Linked DNA regions of Ovis aries. The protein of the gene in region 2 interacts with the protein of the main gene of each other region in a pairwise test. Links are inferred from orthologs where the notes say so. Each region holds a gene or a part of one and is shown on either strand. Other genes may lie near its edges.

Region 1 (3,957 bases), on a different chromosome or scaffold from region 2:
GACACAAGTGCAACCGGGCAAACCTCTGGCCTATGAAGAAGGTCTCTTCCTCCTCCTGATCTGGCCTTCCTGCCACAGCCCTCCCGAGCTTTCTCTCGGTTTGCTCCCTACAAGCAGGCTCCCAGCTAACGTTCTCTCTCCATGGCCAGACACACTCACCAGGCTCCACAGAGGTCTCCGGAAGGGATCCTGAGGGCTGGCTCACTGAAGTCCTGAGGACAAGGACAGTGGCAAGCAGTCACTGAGCACCACATATGAGCTGGGCACCATGCAAAGTGCTTTACAAACATCTAATTCTCACAACAACTTCAAATGATGATACAAACATTGTCCTCATTTGACAGACTAAAGAAACTAAAGCTTGGCAGGTACGGCAAGCTTGAACAACTTGTAAGTGCTGAGAGTCAGGAATCAAACCCAAACCCCATTTGTTCCCACAATCTAAGCTCGAGCCACTACACAAGGGATGGTACCTCTCATTTCTTTCCCCTTCCATCCCTCACAACCTGAAGAAACTGATGCCATATTGAGGCTGAACTTTACTGCAAGGGTTCACCCTGGGCATTCACAGATTTTCCCCTCTCCCCGCCCCCAGGCTGGTGGGAAGTCCTAAAGCTACCAGAGGGCCCAGCCCTGAGGGACCCCTGTACAGACACTGAAGCACTCTTTTCCAAATGACCCCCTCCTTACTTGCTGCTGCCACTGGTCTCTCTTCTTAGTTCCTGGAAACAGGGAGGAGCGGAGGGGTGAGAGGATGATCCTGAAGGTGGAATCTGAGCCACACAGGAGCAAGAGAAAAAGGAGAGTCAGAAGCAGGCTCCAAACCTTCAGGTTTCACCACCAACCCCATCAGCCTCCATACAACCCCTCTGCTTACCAGGCGGTACCCTCCATCCCAAGGCCCAGCTGTGTCCTTAGAAGGAGTCCCCAGGAGCACCTAGTATCAGCCCCTCAAGAACACTCACCAGAGCCTGCAACCTCTGGGGACACAAGGTCCGACCTCTAGGCCCTGGTCCCTCCAGCCTTGAGAAGCAGGAAGCCCTGACAGGGTCCAGTCGATGGGTAGGGGTTCTGGGGGCCAAATATGCAGAGGCCCGGGCATCCTGGGACCCCAAAAAAGACTCTCAGTACAGACTCAGGATTCCCTCCTCAGCCTACCCCAGCCTGATCTCCTCCTATCCCGGCTCATTACCTGACCCCTCCGGATGGTGCCTCCCTGGCTCCCTCGAACAAGTACTCTCTGAGCCAGACTGGGCTGGCGCCCCAGGCGACAGCTCTTCACCCCCTCACCTGACAGGATGGTGGCCAGGGCTGCAGGGTCAGCCACAAACTCTACGGTCCCTGGAGCCTCTGCAAGGGAAGAAGAAAAGGAAAGGCGAGGAGGGACAGGAAGGAGGGGAGGCTGAGGGGTTGGGGAGCCTAGCATTGTCACCTTGAGGTGCATGAGCCAAAGAGACTCATATAACTGAACTCAGCTCAACAAACATTCACAGGACTTTAATCTGCATAAGACACTATTCTAGACACTGCCACCCAGAGATGAATACGACAAAGCCCCCATCCTCAGGAAGCTAACATCAAACTAGAGCAAGGTAACAGATTCAAGTCAAAGTATGGACATATTATAAAAGAAGTGCAGGGAATTCCCGGGCGGTACACTGATTAGGACTTGGTGCTTTCACTGCCTTGGCCCAGGTTCAATCCTTGGTCCAGAAACCAAGATCCCATAAATTGCATCTAATAAATGAATGCATTAATTAATGGATAAATGAATGAATAAACAAACAAGTAAATAAAGTTCAGCAAATCATTAGAACAAAGAGCAATTGATAGTGACTAGAGGAGCCAGAAAAGGCTTTAGAAGTGATGACACATTGCTGAAGAAAAGAAAGGGCCTCTAACAGCAAAGAGCTTTCTAGGAGCAGGGACTAGGAATTATAGTAAGCAGGAGAGGCAGGATTACAAAGCCCCCAAACCCCACTGCACCAACCCATTCTCCCACCCAGTTCTACAGCCTCCAATAGATACCTGTCTGGGGAGGTGGCCTAGGGCCCACATTTTGATCCCCATGGCTAGGCCTGAGCTCCTCCAAGGGGTTCCGGAGCTGAGTGCTCCCCAGCAATTTCTCAGATTGCTCTGTCTGACGTGTGGCTTTCAGCCTGGGGCCTGCTGAGTCTGCGAGGGGGCGCTGAATATTGAGCTTCTGCCCCAATCTCTAGGATAGGGGAGAAAAAAGCTGAGCTCAGCGTTGAGGTGCATTGCTGCTTCCTTGTAGCTACTGTCTTCACTCCCCCAGGCTCCTCTTACCTTTGGATCTTGGTTCTCCTGGTCCAGGGCGCTGGGTTTGACTGTGGGGAGAGGTGGGCGTCTCTGAGAGCGAATGGGAATCTTGCTAGGAGTGGGAGATACACCCCGGAGGAGAGGATCCTTCGTGGCTTGGAGGGTGGTCATGACGACTACTCCTGAAAAGGAGAAAAAAGGATCAGGGATCAAAGGTCAGCCAGTTCGAGGTTTCGGTCCTGACATTCCAGATACTCCTACCTCCGCCCAAATCCACGCGCCAGAAGACCCGCCGCCTACAAGGGCGCTTCTCGGTCATCTCCTGACACTATGAGCCTACACTTTCGTCCCGGGACCCCGAACTGCCTCTCTTCCCTACGAGCCCCGGCAGCCCTCATTCCCTCCAAGATCTCCGTGCCGCACCTCCCCCTGAACCCCTCAGGGTCTCGCCCACTTTCTTCGCTTTTTCCCGGGACTCTCTCGGCCTCTGCTCCAGGTACTTCCCCAGTTTGTAAAATACGCCAAGCTCCTGATTGGCTCGTCTGCGCTCCCGCGGAGGCGCGTGACGCAGGATTCAGCTATCCAATCTACAGGCTTCGGAGGCGGGGCCAAAAGAAGGACTAGTTGCCGAGCCGCTTTCTGGCCAGGAAAAAAAAATGACCCGACTCAACCAGCCAATCGGAAAGCCGAGCGCGGGGTGGAAGAGGAAAGAGGAGACAGTTCTGAGGTCCAGGAAGGCGTCTGCTCTGAGTCTGGGCAACAACGGGCGCTGGCGAACTCTCGCGAGGTCTCGGGACTGGTGCGGGAAGGTCCAGTCGGCCTTGTGGAAGGGCTTGCGTCCTGAGTGAGGCAAGCTGACGGTGTTGGAGGCTGGCCCCAGCCCCTGACTCAGCTCTGATCAGAGTTAGGCCGTCAAGTTTTGGGGACCCTGTCCAGACGCTTTGTGGGAAAAGTCTGCCTGGGTCGAGGAGCTGCCTCCAAACGGGCGGAGAGGTCTGGAGAAAATTGAACTAACAATAACAAAAATGAAAGGTTACAGTGAAAAAGAGAAAAAAGTTTTCCTTTTTCTCTTGTCCTTTTCTGAGTTCTTTTTTTTTTTACTCTAACTTCCGGATCTGTAGTCGGTAATCAAGGCTAACTTGATATGTAAGCTACATTCTATATGTATCTCCTTTAAACTCTAAATGAGCTACATTGTGTACCTGTAGCTTCTGTTAGTTACATTCTAACTCAATGCTAATCACATCCTGTGTTTAGTGCTCACCTTTACAGCAGTCTTTGCAGAGCCCCCCTTGTAGTTCTCTCTCTCTCTCCTTTTTTCTTATACTACAGAAAGGAGGCCACAGTACAATTCATGAAAGACAATGGACCCAACTGCTGGGCTACCTTACACCGTGGAGAAGGAAATGGCAACCTACTGCAATATTCCTGCCTGGATAATTCCATGGACAGAGGAGGCTCGTGGGCTACAGTCCTTTGGGTCACTAAGAGTCGCATAGGACTTAGTGACTAAACAACAACAGCCTGACTCCAGTCTGTTACTGTTTTTGAAACAATGCAAGAGGAAAAAAAAGACAAGATCCTTACACATTTGTTCCACATTGTTGTAGCCACGTGTTCCAGGAAACAAACTCACTCAGAAGGACAATGCAGATAGTGGAGTGCCGTTAATTACAC
Region 2 (4,280 bases):
TAATCCAATCAAATAATCAAACTTACTCAGAACTGTATGCTGTATATAGAAAATGAAACTTGATGCGAATTTTCCCATACACAATACTCTGAAGTAAACTGCAGTGAGTTTTAACAAACCTAAATTATATGTTGTAGTACTACGCATTTCTAAATGCTTGGCACAATACTAGACTAATTTCACTAAAGCTGAAGCCTGGTAAAGTTGTCACTGCCGAATGAAGAGACAAGAGACAGGGGGAAAAACCACTTTAGATACCCGCTATTAATCATCTCGGTTCACACAGGTCTCTCCCCGGGTAGGGTGGGAACTTCAGCATCTGCGGCTAAAATCTGTTTGGTGGCTTCAGCAACATATAACAGGGTAAGTAATTTACCAGGTATCTATTTCATTCTAAGATGAGTAGGAAATGGCAACCCACTCCAGTATTCTTGCCTGGAAAATCCCATGGATAAAGAGCCTGGCGGGCTATAGTCTATGGAGTTGCAAAGAGTCGGACATGACTGGTTGACTGAGCACTCATATTTCATCCCGTCGCAGGGGTCTCAAACCTAAAAAGTGAAGAATAGCTTCCTCTCGCTCCACGGCAAGAAACTGAACAGGAGGGCGAGCACTGACTGTTTAAGAAGGACGAGATCTACATCCCAGGGGTCAGGTCTACGTGCCAAAAGCTGCAAGAATTAGTGAGAAAAGGGGAAAAAACAGCGTAGAGGAAGCCGGGTTCGCAAAAATTTACCTTTCAGGGCCAGCAGGTGCTCCTGTTTGGGGGGATTCACCTCCATTTTGACCGGCACTTTGAACCCACTGCCTACGGAGGCTGAAGAGGTTCACTTAGCTCGGAAGAAAACAGAAAGCCTAAGTTCCGGAAGACCGCATCACATTCCCAATCGTTTCTTCTCTGCTGGTGGTGCCTTAAATTCTCTTACCACGTCCTTTAGCGACTCAACGGCTTCCTTTTACCAAAGCCATCTCTTGCCTCTTAGAGATATACATAAAATACTTCTCTATTTTCCAGCCACAATCACAAACCGCGACTTCAAGAAATCACTCCTCGGAGACAATACGCGGCCCTGCAAATACCTACATCTCCCAGTAACTGCTGTAAGATGTGGCATGCTGGGATTTGTAGTTCAAAAGCCGCAAAGCCTGCAGGGAGATGAAGTCCCCTTTCATCCAGTGCGTTTTACAACTGGGGAGAAAAGGTCTTTACTGGAACAAGAATTTCACCCCAAAACCTTACTTCTGTCTTAACCCTTATCTTTTGCTTTAATTTTACTCCTCTCATCAAATTGGTAGAAGTCTGACGGAGACTGAAAATCTCCAGACTCTTCAATAAAAATAACAAAGCTCCCATTCGCAAGCCTCTGCTGGCGTCAAAAGGTGCGAGGAAGCCTCCTCGGCGGGGCCCGGCGTCGTAGTGCGCCTGTGCGCCAGCGGCAAGCGCCGAGGCTTCTGGGTAGGTGGCTTTACCCCGCCCCTCATGTGAAGGCCTTCTCGGCTGCTTCAGTGGCGAGGCTCCTTCTGGGATGGCTGCTCTGGTTGTAAACAAGCCTGGAGCGGGACTAGACAGTGGTCGTCAGGGCAGCCGGGGGACGGCCGTGGTGAAGGTGAGGGACCTTGCGTGCTCTGTTCTCCGCCATCGGCCTCCCTTCGGTTCATCCCGGAGATCTGGCTTTTTTTTGGGCGGGTTGCGCGGACTCGGGTCCCTCTCCGCTTTACAAGCCTATGCTTCCCCTCCGGACCTTTATCCCTGCAGGCTTGAGGTTACCGGGTCTCCTGGTCATTCTAGTCTTTTGTAGTCGCCAACGGGGACTTTTGTGAAAAGGATCCTATGGGCCTGTGAGAGTGACCTGGGCTGATCTTTCCTCAGGCCTTCTGTTTTTAGCTAAGCCCAACAGACATTAATAAGCTTATTTTTATGAAATTGATCCATTATTATTGACAGATACTATCTTAGATATTTTACCTCGTTAATATCTATTTATGAAGTAATTGTTGATTCTAGTTTTACAAGTGAGGAAACTCAGGTTTCGGTTAACACTGTAGCTGAGCCAGAATTGACTGCTCTAAAGTATTCTTTTCGTTAAAGCACTACTTCTTTTTAATCAGACCTCTGTTATTGGTTGACCTGCCCTCTCCTCTTTTGGTAGTACGGGTGTTCAACAGCCCCGTTAATGCTCGGGAATATCAATTACCCTATGTTTGAAGTTTGAAATTCTGCCATGTTTAAATGCTCTAAAATGGGTTTACCAAAAATTCAGTTGAAATAACCGTAGAATCCACTTTTCCGTATATAGATAGATCTGGAAGGGAGAACTGATCTTAATAACCTTTAGAATCCCCTGTAATCTCAGATAGTGCTAATTCGTATTCCTGGCTACATATTACTGAGGACTTGAAAAAAAAAATACAGACACACACAAAAACGATTTAATCCCCTAGTTCAGCTTAAGTTGTTATCAGTATATTTTTTTGCATTCCCAGAATACTTTTAATGTGCAACTAGGGTTCAAAACCATTGAAGGAGATATCTGAAATTCTTTTAAGATCTTGAGTAATAGGCACCTGTGATTTTTCATCTAACGTTGGTTTCATATGACAACGAATGATACATTTTTGCCTTCAACTATATTATCAATCGGTATTGGTGGTTGTTGATTCGTCTTTTAAATATTAATAAAGTTATTTTGAAGATACATAGCATATCTGAGATATGAAGCTGCCCTCATTATTTGGCTTGTATGATTGAGATTTTATTTATTGAATTGTGCTTTTTCTAAGTAGAGAATACCTGAAGATTGTTTTGTGAAATAACCTGAATTAAGAAGTAATAGGAATGTATATTACTACTGTCTCTGCTTTTGTTATCTTGTTTGTCTTAAAATCTGAAAAATATACCAAAACCTGATGTAACTCCAGTTTATTAAAGCACAGAGATTGGTAAATTAGAGGCTCATTTTGTTAATTTTCATTTTTATCTGTAAAACGTGACTGAGATGTGCAGTAGGATAGTCCTTTTTGGCAAGAGCCTCATGCGGTAATTTGTAAGATAAATTACAAATCAAATTAAAAAAAATCCTCATGGCCATTGTTACAGATGGAAGTAAGAAGTGTTCATTGGAAGGTAAAAGTTGAAGTATATAATGCTAATGTTTGTATCTATAAAATGACTTCCTGCTTTATGAACGAGTTGCTAGAGTTTTCTTGTTAGGAAAAACAGACAGAAATTGGATATGAAATTATTTATCTCCACAAAAGAATAGTGAACTGCCTTCAGTTCAGTTCAGTTTAATTGCTCAGTTGTGTCTGACTCTTTGTGACCCCATGAATCGCAGCACGCCAGGGCTCCCTGTCTATCACCAAATCCCGGAGTTTACCCAAACTCATGTCCATCAAGTCGGTGACGCCATCCAACCAGCTCATCCTCTGTCATCCCCTTCTGTCCCGTCCTGCCCCCAATCCCTCCCAGCATCTGGGTCTTTTCCAATCAGTCAACTCTTTGCATGAGTGGCCAAAGTATTGGAGTTTCAGCTTTGGCATTAGTCCTTCCAATGAACACCCAGGACTGATCTCCTTTAGGATGGACTGGTTGGATCTCCCTGCAGTCCAAGGGACTCGCAAGAGTCTTCTCCAACACCACAGTTCAAAAGCATCAATTCTTCAGTGCTCAGCTTTCTTCACAGTCCAACTCTCATATCCATACATGACCACTGGAAAAACCATAGCCTGGACTAGACGGACCTTTGTTGGCAAAGTAATGTCTCTGCTTTTGAATATGCTATCTAGATTGGTCATAACTTTCCTTCCAAGGAGTAAGTGTCTTTTAATTTCATGGCTGCAATCACCATCTGCAGTGATTTTGGAGCCCCCAAAAATAAAGTCTGACACTGTTTCCACTGTTTCCCCATCTATTTCTGATGAAGTGATGGGACCAGATGCCATGATCTTCATTTTCTGAATGTTGAGCTTTAAGCCAACATTTTCACTTTCAGTTTCATCAAGAGGCTTTTTAGTTCCTCTTCACTTTCTGCCATAAGGGTGGTATCATCTGCATATTTGAGGTTATTGATATTTCTCCCGGCAATCTTGGTTCCAGCTTGTGTTTCTTCCAGCCCAGCGTTTCTCATGATGTACTCTGCATATAAGTTAAATATCAGGGTGACAATGTACAGCCTTGATGTGCTCCTTTTCCTATTTGGAACCAGTCTGTTTTTCCATGTCCAGTTCTAACTGTTGCTTCCTGACCTTAATCCTTTGAAAATATGGCCTCCTTTATTAAA
Region 3 (3,500 bases), on a different chromosome or scaffold from region 2:
CTGGGTCAAGGTTGGCCCAGGGTAAGTTGGGGTGAGGGGAGGCACCACCCCAGGCCAGGTGCAAAGGATGCTGGATGCCACCACACCTCCCTCCTGTTTCTCCTGGATGGAAGGAGCTTGCATCCAGGCCCTGCAGCTCCCGAGCGGCCCTCCCCGATGAGGCCCCCACAACTGCAGTGGAAACTGAGGTTCAGGTAGGGGAGGGATCTATAATTTGCCCAGCACCCCCAACTCCCCATTGTCTGACTCCAGCCCCCTCCATGAGCTGAGAGGCTGTGAGGGAGGGGGTTTGAGGGCCATGGGGGCTGACAGGGTGCAGCACCCTGACCAGACAAAGTGCTCTGTGGACCCTGGGCTTCTATCCCTCTGGGCTCTGGCACAAGCTATTCTGCCTCTAGGCTTGCAGGTCTCCCCTCAGGTCTCTGCTAATGTGTCACTTCCTCCAGGAAGCCTTCCCTGCTAACATGTCACCTCCTCCAGGAAGGTGGTTCCACAGACCCTGAACTTGGCTTGTTCATGGCTGTGCGTGACTGCTCGTTCATAGGTCTGCTCTCCCATCAGAAGGCGCGCTCCCTGAGGGCCGTGCCTAGGCCAGCAGCATGGGGGTGGGCACAGAGCGGGTCTGGATGCATGGTATTCAGTGAGAGAATGACGCAGGAAGGAGAAAAAGAGTGAGGGGAGCGGGGGAGAAGTGAGATGTGATACAGCACATCTGTTCCCACCAGGGATCTGCGTGGAGATTAACATCCCTGCAAACGCATTAATATGTCAACGAAAGTATAAAAGCAGGTGATAACAGCTCAAGTAATGCTGCTTCCCAGAGACGCCCGTATTCCTAGGAGCCAAATTTCAGAAGAGCAGGTACCGAGCAATCATTCAATCCCCAGTGCCTGGTGGGAAAGACGCAGCGTCTATGACCGTCTGCAAGTATGGCTGGGAGCAGAGTGGGGGCTCGAGCATGGCCCAGCCCCGCTCAGGGACAGACTGGGCTCGGGGGAGGAGCGATGCAGGCCCACCAACACGGTCTGTGGATGAGGGTCCAGACAGCCGGGGAGTGAGGACCTTGAGGGAGGAGGGGTGAGTGAAGCTGAGCACGCTGGCCCAGGGATCCCATTTAGAGACTGTGCTACCGCAGGCAGGTGACAAAACCTCTCTGAGCCTCGCTATTTAAGGATAGTATGGACTCAGTGAGTGAGGCAGATGCTCAGCACGGCTGTGACCTGCAGTGGGTGCCCCATCGGTGGGGCTGTGATGGTCCCCGTGTCCAGGCTCAGGTGGACCCAGTCCTGGGCTCAAGGCGGGGGTGTGAACGGGCAGTCTGGGGGCTGCTGTGGGACTTGGCAGGTTGCTTAAAATCTCTGAGATCCCTGACCTCGCCCATTATATGGGAAGGAAGATGTCTCTCAAGGGGTGAGGGGCTCAGGAAGGTCCCCTGGGGATGATGCCACCGGAGGGCCACTGGAAGCAGAGACCTGGGCCACAGGCACGGGTCTGTCCCCATGTTGCTGGGGATCCTCAGGTAACTCTTCCAGCCTCTCTGGGCTTAGTTTTCCCTTCTATAAAATGAGGCAGAAGACACTTTCCCAGAGTCTGAGACCTGGGGTCTGACCTACAGGGGGTTATACCCCATCCCTTCTGCGAGGCAAAAGTGGCATGAGCCCATGGGTGGGCTGGGGTGGTGAGGGACCACAGATGGGTCTTTTCTGCCTGTGGCTGACCCTCTCCCAGCAAGTGTGGATGGGACCATAACTGAGGCCTCTGGGCATCAGCAAGGGGGGTGGGGGGCGAGTGTCCTTGAGTGGCTGCCTCTGCCTGAGGCCAGAACACTGGGGGATCTGGGCTGAGGTAGGGGGGCACCTGACCTGGGCAGTCCCCCGAGACCCAGCTCTCCCGCCAGGCACCCTCACCTTGATCATCTGTGATAGGTCACCCGCATCCGCCAGCTCCAGCACAATGTTCAGCTCATTGTCCTCAATGAATGAGTCCAAATACTTGATGATGTTTGGATGGTTCAATTGCTGCCCAAAGAGAGAAAAAGAGGGAGATGGAGTCAGTGAGAGATGATACAGTTGGAGAGGCGAGTATCTGGGGGGAATGGCCTGCAGACCTGGGTGACACTGGGAAAGCCATTTTGCATCCCTGAGCCTCAGTGTCCCCCTCTGTAAAATGGGCATAATCTTTTGCAGAGAAACTGTGAAGATTACACGGGCTGATACCCCTGAAATATCTACATGGTGACCACTTGCAGCTAAGACTCAACAGACACTGTGGAAATGACCCTTTTCTCCCTCCTCCTCTTCATCATCAGCACCACCCAGGCCCCTCCAGGGTAGGGCCAGGCCCCCACCACTCCACCTCTGTACTCAGTGGTCCTGGAATACTTGGAAGTGTCCATCTCCTTCCTTCTTCCTTCCCACTTTCTCAATTTCTGACCCACCCTTTGTGAAATCTTGAGAAAACATCATTCCTGGTGTGAGAGCTGCCCTGAGCATGGTGCTCAGTGATGAAGCCCTGATTCTGGCCTGATCACCGTGGCCCGTGTGATCGTCAGATAGGACTGCGCCCCACTGGCCGGAAGTCAGACCCTGCTCGGCTGACAGGAGACCCTGGCATTCCTTACGACTTAAACTATACCGAAATGACCCCAGGATCTAGGGAAGGCAGAGGGACTCAAATATTCTGCCACAGCATGGTCAGCCTGTCCAGCGGGGGTCCCACCCAGAGGCCACTTGAAAGCACATTTTTCCAAAGGCCCAGAAGGTGCTATGTGAAGGGCACGTATTTATGCTGCGCCACTGTTCCGCCCCTCCTGGCAGCCTCTCACTGGTCCTGGCATGAACAGCATGAATGATGCCGCCCAGTGGCCCCTCTAAGGACCGTGCTTCTTTCTGTTTTGTAGGAAACACCCCGTGCCCTGGCACATCCTGTTGACTTCCCACAGGCAGGCTGGCGAGGTGGGTCACGTTCTGCAAAGGGTCTGGCCTGGTGGCAGAGGTTATAACCATGGCAATGGGGGCTGCTTCTGACCAGATGCTACACTGAGTCCTTTCAATGCATCTTCTCACTAATCCCACGACAACACCTCTGAAGACAGCACTCTCGTCATCAACCCCTTAGACAGATGAGAAAACCAAGGCCCCAGGTGGTCAGCAGCTTACCCACGGCCCCAGAGCTAGTGAGCAAGGGGTGTATCTGCCTGCGAAGCCCACAGCTGACTACGCTCAGTGGCACTGCAGCCTGGGGGCGGGTCAGAGCCCCCGCACCAGGCAGGCCTGGGTCATGCCACCTGGGGCGGCCTCACCAAAGAGGCTGTGATCACTCAGTTCTGAGCCCAAGAACCAAACAGGCTGGCTCAGTGTGCACACGTGTACAATCCCTTACTCACGTGAGCAACACACGTGTGTTCTTGGCCACGAGTAGGGAGACAGGGGTGTGTGATCCAGACAGCCACTCCCCAGGGCTGGGGAATCAGAGTTTCAGGGATCACAACTGGGTCCAAA
Region 4 (4,162 bases), on a different chromosome or scaffold from region 2:
GCTGGAAGAGAAAGGCTTACCCTTAAATATGAGTTTCTGAAAAGGCAGCGGAACCCCTGTAGCCTCTTCAACAACCTGGGCCAGGTCTTGGACAATTGGCTCACTATTGCCTTCTTGTGGGGTAACTTGAAGATCGTGTTTCTCATTGCCTGGGAAGAGAGAAAAGTGTTGAAGAAAACACAAACCAATAAACAGAGGCTGACACTTCATTTTCCCAGCCTTTAAGACCTGCTCAAGGATTTTTGTCTCCTTGGGAATTGTTACAGGAACTAATAATATCAGTGATATCAGCTAACATTTTAAGCATTTAACATGTGTAAGGGGCTGACTAGACTTATTTTGGAGAAGGAAATGGCAACCCACTCCAGTATTCTTGCCTAGAGAATCCTGTGGACGGACGAACCTAGTGGGCTGTTGCCTATAGGGTCGCACAGATTCAGACACAACTGAAGCAACTTAGCGTGCATGCATGCACTGGAGAAGGGAATGGCAACCCACTCCAGTATTCTTACCTGGAGAATCTCAGGGACAGAGGAGCCTGGTGGGCTGCTGTCTATGGGGTCGCACAGAGTCAGACATGACTGAAAGGATTTAGCAGTAGCAGCAGCAGCATGCTTATTTTATGCATAACCTTAATTAATCCTCAGAACAACCCCATGAAGTACCCATGAAGCTGGTATTACCTATTATTCCTCATTTCACAAATAAGGAAAATGTGAGATCAGTCCAGTTAAGACTTGCCTAGTGGGACCCATCTCTACAATCAGAACTTAACCTCAGATCTATCTGATTTCAAATTCTGTGCTTTTCTTTAAAGCCATTTGCCTCCTCTGACCTGACTGTCCTCTCCTCTGTGTTGTACTGGGTGAGGAACTGTTTCTATCTCCTTTGCTATAATGCGCAAGGAACTGCTTTTCTTCCAGGTCTCTCCCACTGGGCACACCTGGACACATACGGTTGGTGCCCAGAAAATAAATGAGGGGGACTTCCCCGGTGGTGCTATGGATAAGAATCTGCCTGCCAAGGCAGGGGACACAGGTCCAGTCCCCAGTCCTGGATGATTCCACATGCCATGGAGCAACTAAGCCTGTGTGCCACAACTACTGATGCCCGCATGCCTAGAGCCACCCCAGTGAGAAGCCCGCACATCTCAAGGAAGAGTAGCCCCTGCACGCTGCAACTAGAAAAAGCCCGAGCAAAGCAACGAAGACCTAGTGTGGCCAATAAATAAACAAATGAGTGGAAAAACTCAAACAGCAGAAATTTCTTTTTGGAGCAGAGGTGCCAATTCTTTTCTGGATATGTGGACAGCAAGGGCGTAGCCTGTGTCCAGTGCCTCACGCCAAGCCTTAAGCCTTCTTAACAGCCATGAAGTCAGCGGGACAGGTGTTACCAACTCTATTTTGCATAGAAGAAACCAGATGCCTAGAAAGGAGACATCCCAAGGTCACCCAAATGTGCAGAATCCTGGTCTCCAGGTTCTTGAGGCCCTGGGGTCTCCCCTAGTTGGTTCTGAGGAAACCTTATGTACTCAGCTCCCTGGAGAACCGTCTTTGCCTAGTTCTGTGTCAACTCCAACAGTAAACAGACCCCAAGGGTGCCCAGAGAGTACGCTGGAACCCACGCCTCACTTAAACAGCACACATGAGTTTTGACTCCTGCACACAAGTAGATGTCCAGATACACAGACATAGACAACATGGCTAAATACAAGCCAGGCACAAAGGCCCACAACAACTGTGCAGGCACACCCTAAGACATACAACTAGGACCACGACGTGAAGCATCAAGGATCTAACAAATGGCCTGAGACAAAATACACCTGCCACGTGGAAAGGTGTGTTGACAGACCAGTAAAAAAAAAAAAAGCCGGTCCCACAAGATCCCACTCTTCTGGACTCCAAAGACAAGGACACACACTTCGGGAGGGCACGCGACCAAACCCAGAGACCACGCCGGACTTTCGCGGCCCAGCACGGAGCCCACCCGGCAGCCCACGCTCACTGTGGGTGACGGTCACGCTGAGCCCGGCTGCCGCCATTTCCTCGCTCCCGGCCACCTCTTCGCTCCGGGCCACCTCTTCGCTCAGGGCCACCTCTTCGCTCCGGGCCACCTCTTCGCTCAGGGCCACCTCTTCGCTCCGGGCCACCTCTTCGCTCAGGACCACCTCTTCGCTCGGGGCCACCTCTTCGCTCCGGGCCACCTCTTCGCTCCGGGCCGAGCGAGGCCGTGCTTTCTTTTTCACCCGCGGCCTGCGAGCGCAGGCGGCGGCGCCTCTGGTGGATCCGGCATGCCCCCTGGTCACGCTCCGGACGGCTGATTTCTGGGAGGGAGGCGGACCTCGCTCGGCTGGGGGCACCGACTGGCGCGGCTCCCGGCCCGGCCGAGGCGCGCGCCGCCGGGGACCCAGCCGCTCCCGGTCGCCTCGCGGTCTTCGCGCGCCCCCGCGCTCCGCCAGACCCGCGATGGTCGCCCGCCCAGCGATGGTAGCTAGCGTGGGGCCCTCCACCCCAGTTCGGCTACTTCCCCGCCCCTCCCGGGCGTACCGGCTCCGCCCCTCGGAGCAGCCCCGCTGCAGCCGGGCTCTATTCCTCTGAAGCCGCCCCCTACCCCACCCACTCAGCCGAGGCCCCGCCTGGCTTATCTGGGGCCACGCCCACGCCCGCCACCGGAGCCACGCCCCCTGCCGACTCTCTGTCCCTCACCTCCAACTTCCCGGAGCTCCCCTTCCCCGGAAGATCAGGCTGAAAATCCGGAAAAAGGATCGGGAAACGCCAATAGGCACATTGCGCTTGCGCATGGGGGGCCGGAAGTCAAGTCGGAGAGGGAGGTGACTCTGCTTCCGTTTCTGGTTTTGCTCCAGTGTTTAGGTTTTCTTAGCGGCCGCCCAAGATGAACCGATTCTTCGGGAAAGCGAAACCCAAGGCTCCGCCGCCCAGCTTGACTGACTGCATTGGCACGGTGGGCACTTAGACTTGCTAACTAGGCTCAGGAACCCTGACACCCCTTAACCCGTCCACCCCCGACTTCGGCGTCGACTCCTGGCTCCCGGGCCCATTACAGCTTAGCTCTCTCCATCCCACTTTCGTTCCTGTTACCCAAGTCATTTCTGACGCCACAAACCAGGGACCCCTAACCCATCATTGTTTAACCCTACTTGCGCCCCACCCCCTCTGGTGCTCAGTGCCGCGTCCACTCGGCCTAGACACCCTTACCACCTCATCCAGCCCTACTCCTCCCTCCTCTTCCGTCCCTCATCCTTCTCCGACGTCAGGAATCTCGGCTTGATATCCTAGCTCAGTATATCTGTAACCCAATCCTGGATCTGTTACACAAAATTCAGAACTCTAGCCCCTATCATTAGGCCACCACCTTCTATCCAAGTGAATGGCGTTAGCTCTACAGCCCTAGCCGAGGTCCATTGGGCAGTAACTCGTTTCATACACTTTCTTATTGAGCCCTCTGCTGGCCTAGTCACCAATTCTTGGGAAATTTCGACTCAGTCGAGTGATTCTCAAATTCTTTTTCTGCTCAAACACTTGAAGATGCCCCTGGAATATGAGAATCTAGGGGGGTGGAATACAGTTTAAACCCCACCCCCCAGGATTTCGGAGAATCCCGCCTCCCCACAGTTAGGAATTGCTGTTTTCAACCTTCACCATATGCTCTTTGTTTTTCCTTTCTTCCTCTATTCATTCCTCTCCTACCACTTTTGTATTGCAATAACTTCCACTGCCTATAATGTTTTTCCGCTGAAGGTGGACAGCAGAGCAGAATCCATTGACAAGAAGATTTCTCGGCTGGATGCTGAACTAGTGAAGTATAAGGATCAGATCAAGAAGATGAGGGAGGGACCTGCAAAGGTAAGGTAGACAGCTCCTGCAGAAGTTGTGACACCTTGATTTGAGTACCTGTGGAAGTAGGGCCTGTGGTAAGGGCTGGTGAGAAATATAGAAGAGATGCTCACAGTCTGGTAAAGCGAAAACATATGTGATGTTGTGTCCTTCAGGGAGGAGAGTTTGCAGCAGGATATGAGAGGAAAACTGGGCCTTGACCTGGTGGAGAGATGTTGATCACACATCCAGAAACATGTATCTGGGAATTAGCATACTCTACTGAGAAGGCGGCAATCTGGACAGGACAGGCTGGGCCTGCTCAGACT
Region 5 (3,500 bases), on a different chromosome or scaffold from region 2:
TCAGCAGCAGCCTGTCACAGAGGTTCATGTCCTCCTTTAGAAATTTCTTGTCACTTGGCTTCAGGGAGACTACTCTGGTTTTCCTCCTGCCTCCCAAGCTGCCCCTTCCCAGGCAGCCTAGTTGATTCCTGCCCATCTCTCCAAGCAAGTGCTTCAGGCTCAGTCCCTGGGCCTCTGTCTCTCCATCTCCCTCGGTGATCTGGTCCAGTCTTCTAGCTTAAAAAATATTGCCTATTCCAGGGACTCCTAACCTTAGTTGTACATCGGAGCTACTTGGGGGACCTTTACACCAAAAGTCTCTTTGAGTGGGTCATTGGTATTTCCATCTGCAGCTTAAGCCTCACCCTAGGAAATACAGACCTGTTTATCAGCTGCCCAGTGGCTCAGTGGTAAAGAATCTGCCTTCAATGCCAAACATGCAGGTTTGATCACTGGGTGGGGAAGAGCCGCTGGAGAAGGAAATGGCAACCCACTCCAGCATTCTTATCTGGGAAAATCCCATGGACAGACAAGCCTGGTGGGCTATGGTCCATGGGATCGCTAAAGAGTCAGACATGACTCAAAAACATCAACTGCCACTTGTTTGAACCGTATCTAAAATGGAACGCCCCTTAGACTTGCACACACACACAACCCCTCCCTGCCTTTCCTGTGTGTATATACACTTATAAAGGGCAACTTCATAGATTCACTCAGGTTTAAACTCATCCCTGACTGGTCTCTTTCATGCCACATCCAATCCATCATCAGATTACCATGATTCTGTCTCCAGAATTCCACCAGGCCCGCTGCTACTGCCCTGATCTGAGACACTGTCGTCTTTAGCCTGGATTCTGGCCAGACCTCCTGACTGGTCCCTTGCCTCCACTCGGCCCCATCTCTTCCCCACCTGGCAGCCAGAGGGAGTCACTTCAGCCACCACCTGTCAGAGCCTGTCACTCACTCTTCAGCTCAGAGCCTCCCGGGGGCTCCTCAGTTCTTGTAGAGTGAAAGCCCAGGGCCCTGGGTGACCTGACCCCAGCATCTTTGTGTTCCATCTCCATCACGTGCCCCTCTCACTGCAGTCCAGCCCCTCTCTGTGGCCCCAAAACAAATCTGGCCTGCTCTGCCTCTGGGTTCCCCATGCTTCCCATGCAGCAACACTCCTCCCCCAGCCCTGCAGGGACAACTCCTTCACAACCTTAGCTCTCAGCTCAGATGCCATTTCTCAGGGGCCTTTCCTGACCAGCCCACGTGAAGTGGCAGCCTTCCTGCCCTGGGCACTCTCCTGACCTTTTCTCCCTAGCCCTTACCACCATCTGCCATATTAAATGTCTATGTGTTTATTCTGTGATGCCTTCTGTCTCAAGCTTCACTAAGGCAGGAACAACCTTTTTTTGTTCTCTGTTTTGTCTTTAGCACCTAGAATAGTAGTCAGCAAACAGCAAGTGCTAAACACATGGTTAAGGGACTGACTGGACCAATGTGTGACTGCACGGCTTCCCAGACCCTCACTGGGGATAGTGTCTGGTCAGTGTTCCCCATACAGGGAGGAGATTGGCAGTTCCCTCCTTTGGCCTGTTTTAGCAACAACTCACCACAGAGCCTAGGGTGAGTGGAGACACTTCTCAGACAGGTAAGTCCCCTTGTCTACCTCTCGCTCCCCATGCCCCAGAGGCCCAAGCCCACTAAGGCAGAGAGAGGGCCCCAGAAGAGGGTCTCACCCGGCATTTTCCGGTGGATCTGCTTGAACATTCTTCGATACCAGTCCCTGGGGCTGTCAACACTCTGGGATCAAAGAAGGCAAAGTCAGGCCACCCTCCCAACATCAAACCACAGACATTTTTCCTCGTTGGGTCTTTTCTCTGGCCACCCTTGAAGCCTCCCTGGGTGGGCTGTTGTGACATCTTTAGTAACAATACCTCCGTGTCGTCTGTTATGTTTGAGTAAGATATACAGAAGGGGGACATCTCTGGTGGTCCAGTGGTTAGGACTCAGTGCTCCCAATGCAGGGAGCATGGGTTCAATCCCTGGTCCGGGAACTAAGATCCCACATGCGTGTGGCATGGCCAAAAAAGTATTTTTTCAATTATATAAAAAAAAAAATACCCAGATATATGGAAGAATCTCCACCAGTGATGACCCTTTAATTGTGAGATCTGGGGTGGCTTATATATGTTTTTTTCTTTCTATGTATTTCTGATGATTCTACAAAGAACATGTGTTTCTATGTAATGAAAAATAAACAGTATTGGTGGGGGGTAGGGTAGGAAGGTATTTCACATCCTCTACCTCACCTGTGACGCCAAAGAACCTTGGGAAGCAGAGGGCTATGTTACCCATCTGAGTTTCCGATAAGGAACTAGAGGCAGACAGCTGGCTCAGGGTAGGCCTGGGAGTGATGGAAGGGCAGGTCCTCCCAGCATAAATCCTTCAGATCCTCCAAGCTTGCTGCTCCATCAGGCCTCACTCAGGACTCTTTCATTCACCCATTCAGTCAGTCACTTACTCAGCAACAATTTCACCAGTGCCGTGCCAGGCCCAGGGCCATGAATGGAGGAGCAGGGCAGTCCCTGCCAGGGTCAGCCCTTACAGTAGTGGCTCTCTACCATCGAGAACCTATGGGGTAGTCTAGTACTGCTCCCCTCCGCCAAAAAAAAATCACTTGTACAATTCAGACATGCCAGAGTGCTCATAATTTTATGGGGCTCATATCCCCTGGACCCATAATGGTTGAACCCCTGCTTTAGTTATGGGAACAGCCTTTGTGTCAGAGGTGGAACTCAGGGTGGACCCCTGGGCCCCACCTATCAGCAGCCCCAGTCCTGGACTCACAGATCGGGGCGCAATTGGCATGCCGCTCTCATCCACAGGCCCGATGCCCTCATACTTGACCCAGCGCTTGTCGCGCCGTTTGCTGTCCTTGGTCCATGTGGCTGACCACTTCTGGGAATGCTGGGAGGCAGGGGTCTTCTGGTTCCCAGGGGGCCGGCTCCCAGGGCCCGGCCAGGTCTGATACCAAGCAGGGTCTGTGGGGTACATGGAGAGGAGCTTCAGCAAAGGGCCCCACCTAGGCTTGTTTGTCCCTCAGCTCCTCAGACCACTGAGCCCTGTGGGTTCAAAAGTTTCAACAACCCCTTGTTTGTCTAAGTTGATGACGCAGACTCTACAAATGTCCTCATCCTTGGCAGGACCACAGGGTTCTGTTTGTTTACTTTTTAATTAAAATGAATGAAAATGGATTTTATCTTGAGAAATCTATGCCTGTCCCTACCCCACCCTGCTTTGTTGGGGATGTCCTCAGAGTTTTTAGAATGAGAGCTGGAACTGTCACACGCAGAGAATGCTAGAGGCATCTCTAGCTGGGGAAGACAGTAGGATGTGGCAGAAAAGGGCCCGGGGCTGGGGGCAAAGACCTGAGTGCAGATCTATTGGCTGTGTGTCTTAGGCACAGCAATCAACCTCATTGTGCCTGTTTCCAACTTCTGTAAAATGAGGGTAGTCACAGCAGAGCTGCAGGG
Region 6 (3,500 bases), on a different chromosome or scaffold from region 2:
TTTACAGCCCCATGGACTGTAGCCAGCCAGGTTCCTCTGTCCATGGAATTCTCCAGGCAAGAGTACTGGAGTGTCTTGCCATTCCCTTCTCCAGAGTATCTTCCCGAGCCAGGGATCGAACCCACGTCTCCCCCATTGCAGGCAGATTCTTTACCATCCGAGCCACCAGGAAAGTCCAGAAAACACATACCTATGGTTTAATAAGCAGCACAACCACCTCCCACTGCTGGTCAAGAAAGAACACTCTTCGTGCTTTTGTTCCTCCTATGATACCTGAACAGCCTGGAGCTGAATTTCTGAAATCTGTATCCCATATGTTTGTGCCCAAACACAAGGGAGAAAGTGAAAAGAAAGACCTGCAAGGATGCATTGGCGCTAAATTCCAGTGTTAGACAAGGCGGGTTCAGTGTACATTTAAGAGAAAGGTAGGAGTTATCCAGCCAAGTCACAGATGGCTGACTACAGGGTGGGATTTCCAGAGCAGGAAGAAGAAAATACATGTTTTCTTCACAGCTCCCCCCACACCATGCAATTTTCATGTTCATACAAAGGCATCAAAGACCCCTCTTTGATGTCCCAAAGGATGCTCTTTTTTCCAGATATGTAAATATACAGTAAGCAATACATAACATCAGGCTGGTGTGCACTAGAGGGCTTCCTCCAGTCCCTCCCGTCCTCCCCCAGGCTGCCAAAGCTCGCATGGAGGAGGACCACTTTCCAGGCCTTCACTTACCTCTGGTAGTGTATCCTCCAATGACATAAATTTTCCCCTTACACTCACACGCAGAGAACTCAGCCAGAGGGTTTGGTAAGGGTGCCACGAAATTCCAGGCATCCTGCTCAGGGTTGTAACACTCAACATTAGAAACGGCCTGCCCACCAATGGCGTAGAGTTTGAAATTAACAGCCACGAGCTTGAAGTTAGACCTGCAAGAGAGAAGCAAAGGCTCACAAAGTCAGTTCTTCTGATCACTCAAAAGACCATGGCACAATCTGCTAAAGCTGTGTGTGGAATCTGCTGGGTATTTGAAGGAAATGAGCTCTCCAAGCGGGGTGCTGTTATGCCTGGGGACAGAGGAATGATGGAATAGCATCCAAGATTTCACCCATCCCCAAGAAGCCACAAGAATGCTGCATTCTCCAAACTTTAGCTGTTGAAGGTAAGCAATTCAATTTAACAAGGACTAATCTTGCTTAGTTTAAACCTAGAATCAAAGATACTTTGTATATGCTAAACTCAAGACCTCTGTATCCAATCAAAAAATAATATAGTTGTAAAAAATACTTCATTCAGAAACAAAAAACTCACAACACTGTAAATCAACTATACTTCAATAATAAGTAGATTGATTAAAAAATAAACTCAATACTCTCTCAAGAGTGGGAGCAAGTACCCACTCTACTCCCTTGCCCGTTTCTACTCTCAGGGGGTAGGCTCCATCCTAGGTATACATCAGCACTGCCTACACAGACAAGCACATGCTATATGTTTTCTACAGGGTGGTCCAAACACCCATTTACCATGAGTTCACTCAAGCAGATGGCTCACCCATCCTCATATGAGGGCATCTTCTACATTGCTTTGTAACATACAAAGTAGAGGGAGGTAAGCACTGAACTAAATAGAAATATTTTGATCTAGCATTTGATCTCAACAAATAACAGATATCAACAAATGCTCACCTATCACAAGAGTAAACAATTTTAAAAAGAGAAATGTATTGCTTTTAAGATTCATATTCAGTAATACAATTACATTGCTTATTGGCTTCAGATACTAAATAAAAGTCTCATGACTTTTGGATAGAAAAGAAAAAATTAATTTCTTTCACTGTAGTACAGAGATTAATGGACTCCTTGAAGGCCAGGAAGGATAAGCATTTGGAAGTGCCGGGTGAGTTGACTGGGATACATGCAATGGTCTCAACTTCGCACTCATACAAGCAGCGGCACAGAGCTGCAGACCTGGTTCTGGACCTACTCTGGCGATAACCAGCTATCTGCCCTTCGTCTCGAGTGTGTCAAGCACACCCATCCCAGGGCGGTGGAGACAACCACAGCACACAGCATATCAGAAAGTACCAACACAATGCTTTTGTCGAAAGTAACAATGTCCTACTAAAGAATGGGGGTGCAGAGGCTCTAAATGTTCAAATGGAAAAAAGCATGGAAGAGGGTAGATTAAAAAGCGGTAATGAACAAGTAGCCATGCTGGACAGATGTTTAATAAACAATGACACATTATGATATGGAACGTATGTTCCTAATAGCCACCTACTAAAAAACTAGGATTTTTTCAATGGTTCCTGTAATGTTTACATTTAAATGAGTTTTAGCTTAGTTGTGTTTTTCAAATCAGAGAGTGAACAGAGTACTCTTCATCAAGAACCTCACACTGTCCATTAAACCCAATCGGCCATTCAGTTTTTCCTGCCAACAGACTTCACCGGGGTGGCAGTTACTGGGGGGTCCCTGATTCACGGTGCTTACCTTTCCTGCTGCCAGTGGTCCTTAAAATCTGACCGTGATGCCCTCTCTATGTGTGTAAATTTGGGGAACCAAAGGAAATAAAGCTTGTAAATAAGCACTAAATTTTACCAGCCCACAATTTGTTTTTGTTCCCCAAAGGTACACAGATAGTAAATTTTGTAAGATCAAAACAGTGTTTGCTATTCCTCCAGCATAATCACTTGTCCTGTGCAATATGTAAGGGACTTCTTTCTGAGGCTGAACGAACAGGCAGTTAAAAGTAAACAACTCCATCTCTCCAGACCCCAATATGCTCAAATTCACTTGAAAAGAGAACGTTTTAAATATTGAATTTATGATGAAATTGCCACCCAAACACAGGCCACTTGATGAAGAGGCAGACGGCCAAGGATTATGAACCCAGGCTTGTATGGGGAAGTCTCAGCCTCCTGCTAAACAGCTCTGTGACCTTGAACAAGGCATTGAATCTCAGCTGATCTGAGTCTCAATTTCCCCACTTGTGAAGGGGGGAAAAGAACAACACATTGTTAAGAGTTAAGAAGGGTAATCTACAGAAAGAGATCACTGCCTGCATGTCTCTGCGCGTTTCTTAACCTCAGGAGGATTAGTTTCTCATCGGGTAATTGCAGCCATCACAGGCTACAAAGTACAGCCTGCTGGATTTCTGTACAAAGTACCCTCATGTCCATAAATTCTTGCCCTTTCCCATTCTCTGAAAGTAAGTCTTCCATTCTTCACATCCTGCAGGGTAAAGGTATGAATCCAAGATAGCAATTACTTTAATTATCATTTTTATAGGGTTTTTCCTAATACTGATCCTTGACATCCTCCATTCAGAAAGCAAAAAGGATTTTTAAATCAAATAATTATTTGCTGTAGCTACATACTTGACTTAAACAGTGGATAGAAATGAAAGTGAGAAAAATTAGATGGTGATCTAGTCTCTACTTCACTTAGAAGAAATTAAAAGCTCTTGAAATCCTTCAAAGTTAAGTAACATGAACTATGCT

What was found.
Region 1: the proteins of TRIM23 (region 2) and TROAP interact in binary tests that used the Homo sapiens proteins (3 or more experiments, as listed by UniProt). The two-hybrid records come from large-scale screens. The link is inferred for Ovis aries from reciprocal best matches to the Homo sapiens genes TRIM23 and TROAP.
Region 3: the proteins of TRIM23 (region 2) and NEK6 interact in binary tests that used the Homo sapiens proteins (3 or more experiments, as listed by UniProt). The link is inferred for Ovis aries from reciprocal best matches to the Homo sapiens genes TRIM23 and NEK6.
Region 4: the proteins of TRIM23 (region 2) and BAG1 interact in binary tests that used the Homo sapiens proteins (3 or more experiments, as listed by UniProt). The two-hybrid records come from large-scale screens. The link is inferred for Ovis aries from reciprocal best matches to the Homo sapiens genes TRIM23 and BAG1.
Region 5: the proteins of TRIM23 (region 2) and SORBS3 interact in binary tests that used the Homo sapiens proteins (3 or more experiments, as listed by UniProt). The two-hybrid records come from large-scale screens. The link is inferred for Ovis aries from reciprocal best matches to the Homo sapiens genes TRIM23 and SORBS3.
Region 6: the proteins of TRIM23 (region 2) and KLHL42 interact in binary tests that used the Homo sapiens proteins (3 or more experiments, as listed by UniProt). The two-hybrid records come from large-scale screens. The link is inferred for Ovis aries from reciprocal best matches to the Homo sapiens genes TRIM23 and KLHL42.

What each region holds. Positions count from the first base shown.
Region 1 is NC_056056.1:136,912,021-136,915,977, forward strand, and holds the start of TROAP (tastin), read right to left. Parts: upstream 2,801-3,957; 5' UTR 2,600-2,800; coding exon 2,542-2,599; intron 2,463-2,541; coding exon 2,308-2,462; intron 2,216-2,307; coding exon 2,029-2,215; intron 1,351-2,028; coding exon 1,193-1,350; intron 1,104-1,192; coding exon 966-1,103; intron 774-965; coding exon 691-773; intron 213-690; coding exon 160-212; intron 1-159. UniProt on the Homo sapiens protein: Could be involved with bystin and trophinin in a cell adhesion molecule complex that mediates an initial attachment of the blastocyst to uterine epithelial cells at the time of the embryo implantation.
Region 2 is NC_056069.1:14,049,208-14,053,487, forward strand, and holds the start of TRIM23 (E3 ubiquitin-protein ligase TRIM23), read left to right. Parts: upstream 1-1,480; 5' UTR 1,481-1,526; coding exon 1,527-1,607; intron 1,608-4,280. Other genes in the region: TRAPPC13 (trafficking protein particle complex subunit 13), read right to left, coding at 737-782.
Region 3 is NC_056056.1:11,506,180-11,509,679, forward strand, and holds part of NEK6 (serine/threonine-protein kinase Nek6), read right to left. Parts: intron 2,019-3,500; coding exon 1,908-2,018; intron 1-1,907. UniProt on the Homo sapiens protein: Protein kinase which plays an important role in mitotic cell cycle progression. Required for chromosome segregation at metaphase-anaphase transition, robust mitotic spindle formation and cytokinesis.
Region 4 is NC_056055.1:37,884,422-37,888,583, reverse strand, and holds the start of BAG1 (BAG family molecular chaperone regulator 1), read right to left. Parts: upstream 2,801-4,162; coding exon 2,746-2,800; intron 2,695-2,745; coding exon 2,005-2,694; intron 150-2,004; coding exon 21-149; intron 1-20. Other genes in the region: CHMP5 (charged multivesicular body protein 5), read left to right, coding at 2,893-2,961, 3,759-3,863. UniProt on the Homo sapiens protein: Co-chaperone for HSP70 and HSC70 chaperone proteins. Acts as a nucleotide-exchange factor (NEF) promoting the release of ADP from the HSP70 and HSC70 proteins thereby triggering client/substrate protein release.
Region 5 is NC_056055.1:43,085,711-43,089,210, forward strand, and holds part of SORBS3 (vinexin), read right to left. Parts: intron 3,009-3,500; coding exon 2,815-3,008; intron 1,768-2,814; coding exon 1,704-1,767; intron 1-1,703. UniProt on the Homo sapiens protein: Vinexin alpha isoform promotes up-regulation of actin stress fiber formation. Vinexin beta isoform plays a role in cell spreading and enhances the activation of JNK/SAPK in response to EGF stimulation by using its third SH3 domain.
Region 6 is NC_056056.1:187,628,290-187,631,789, forward strand, and holds part of KLHL42 (kelch-like protein 42), read right to left. Parts: intron 928-3,500; coding exon 734-927; intron 1-733. UniProt on the Homo sapiens protein: Substrate-specific adapter of a BCR (BTB-CUL3-RBX1) E3 ubiquitin-protein ligase complex required for mitotic progression and cytokinesis. The BCR(KLHL42) E3 ubiquitin ligase complex mediates the ubiquitination and subsequent degradation of KATNA1.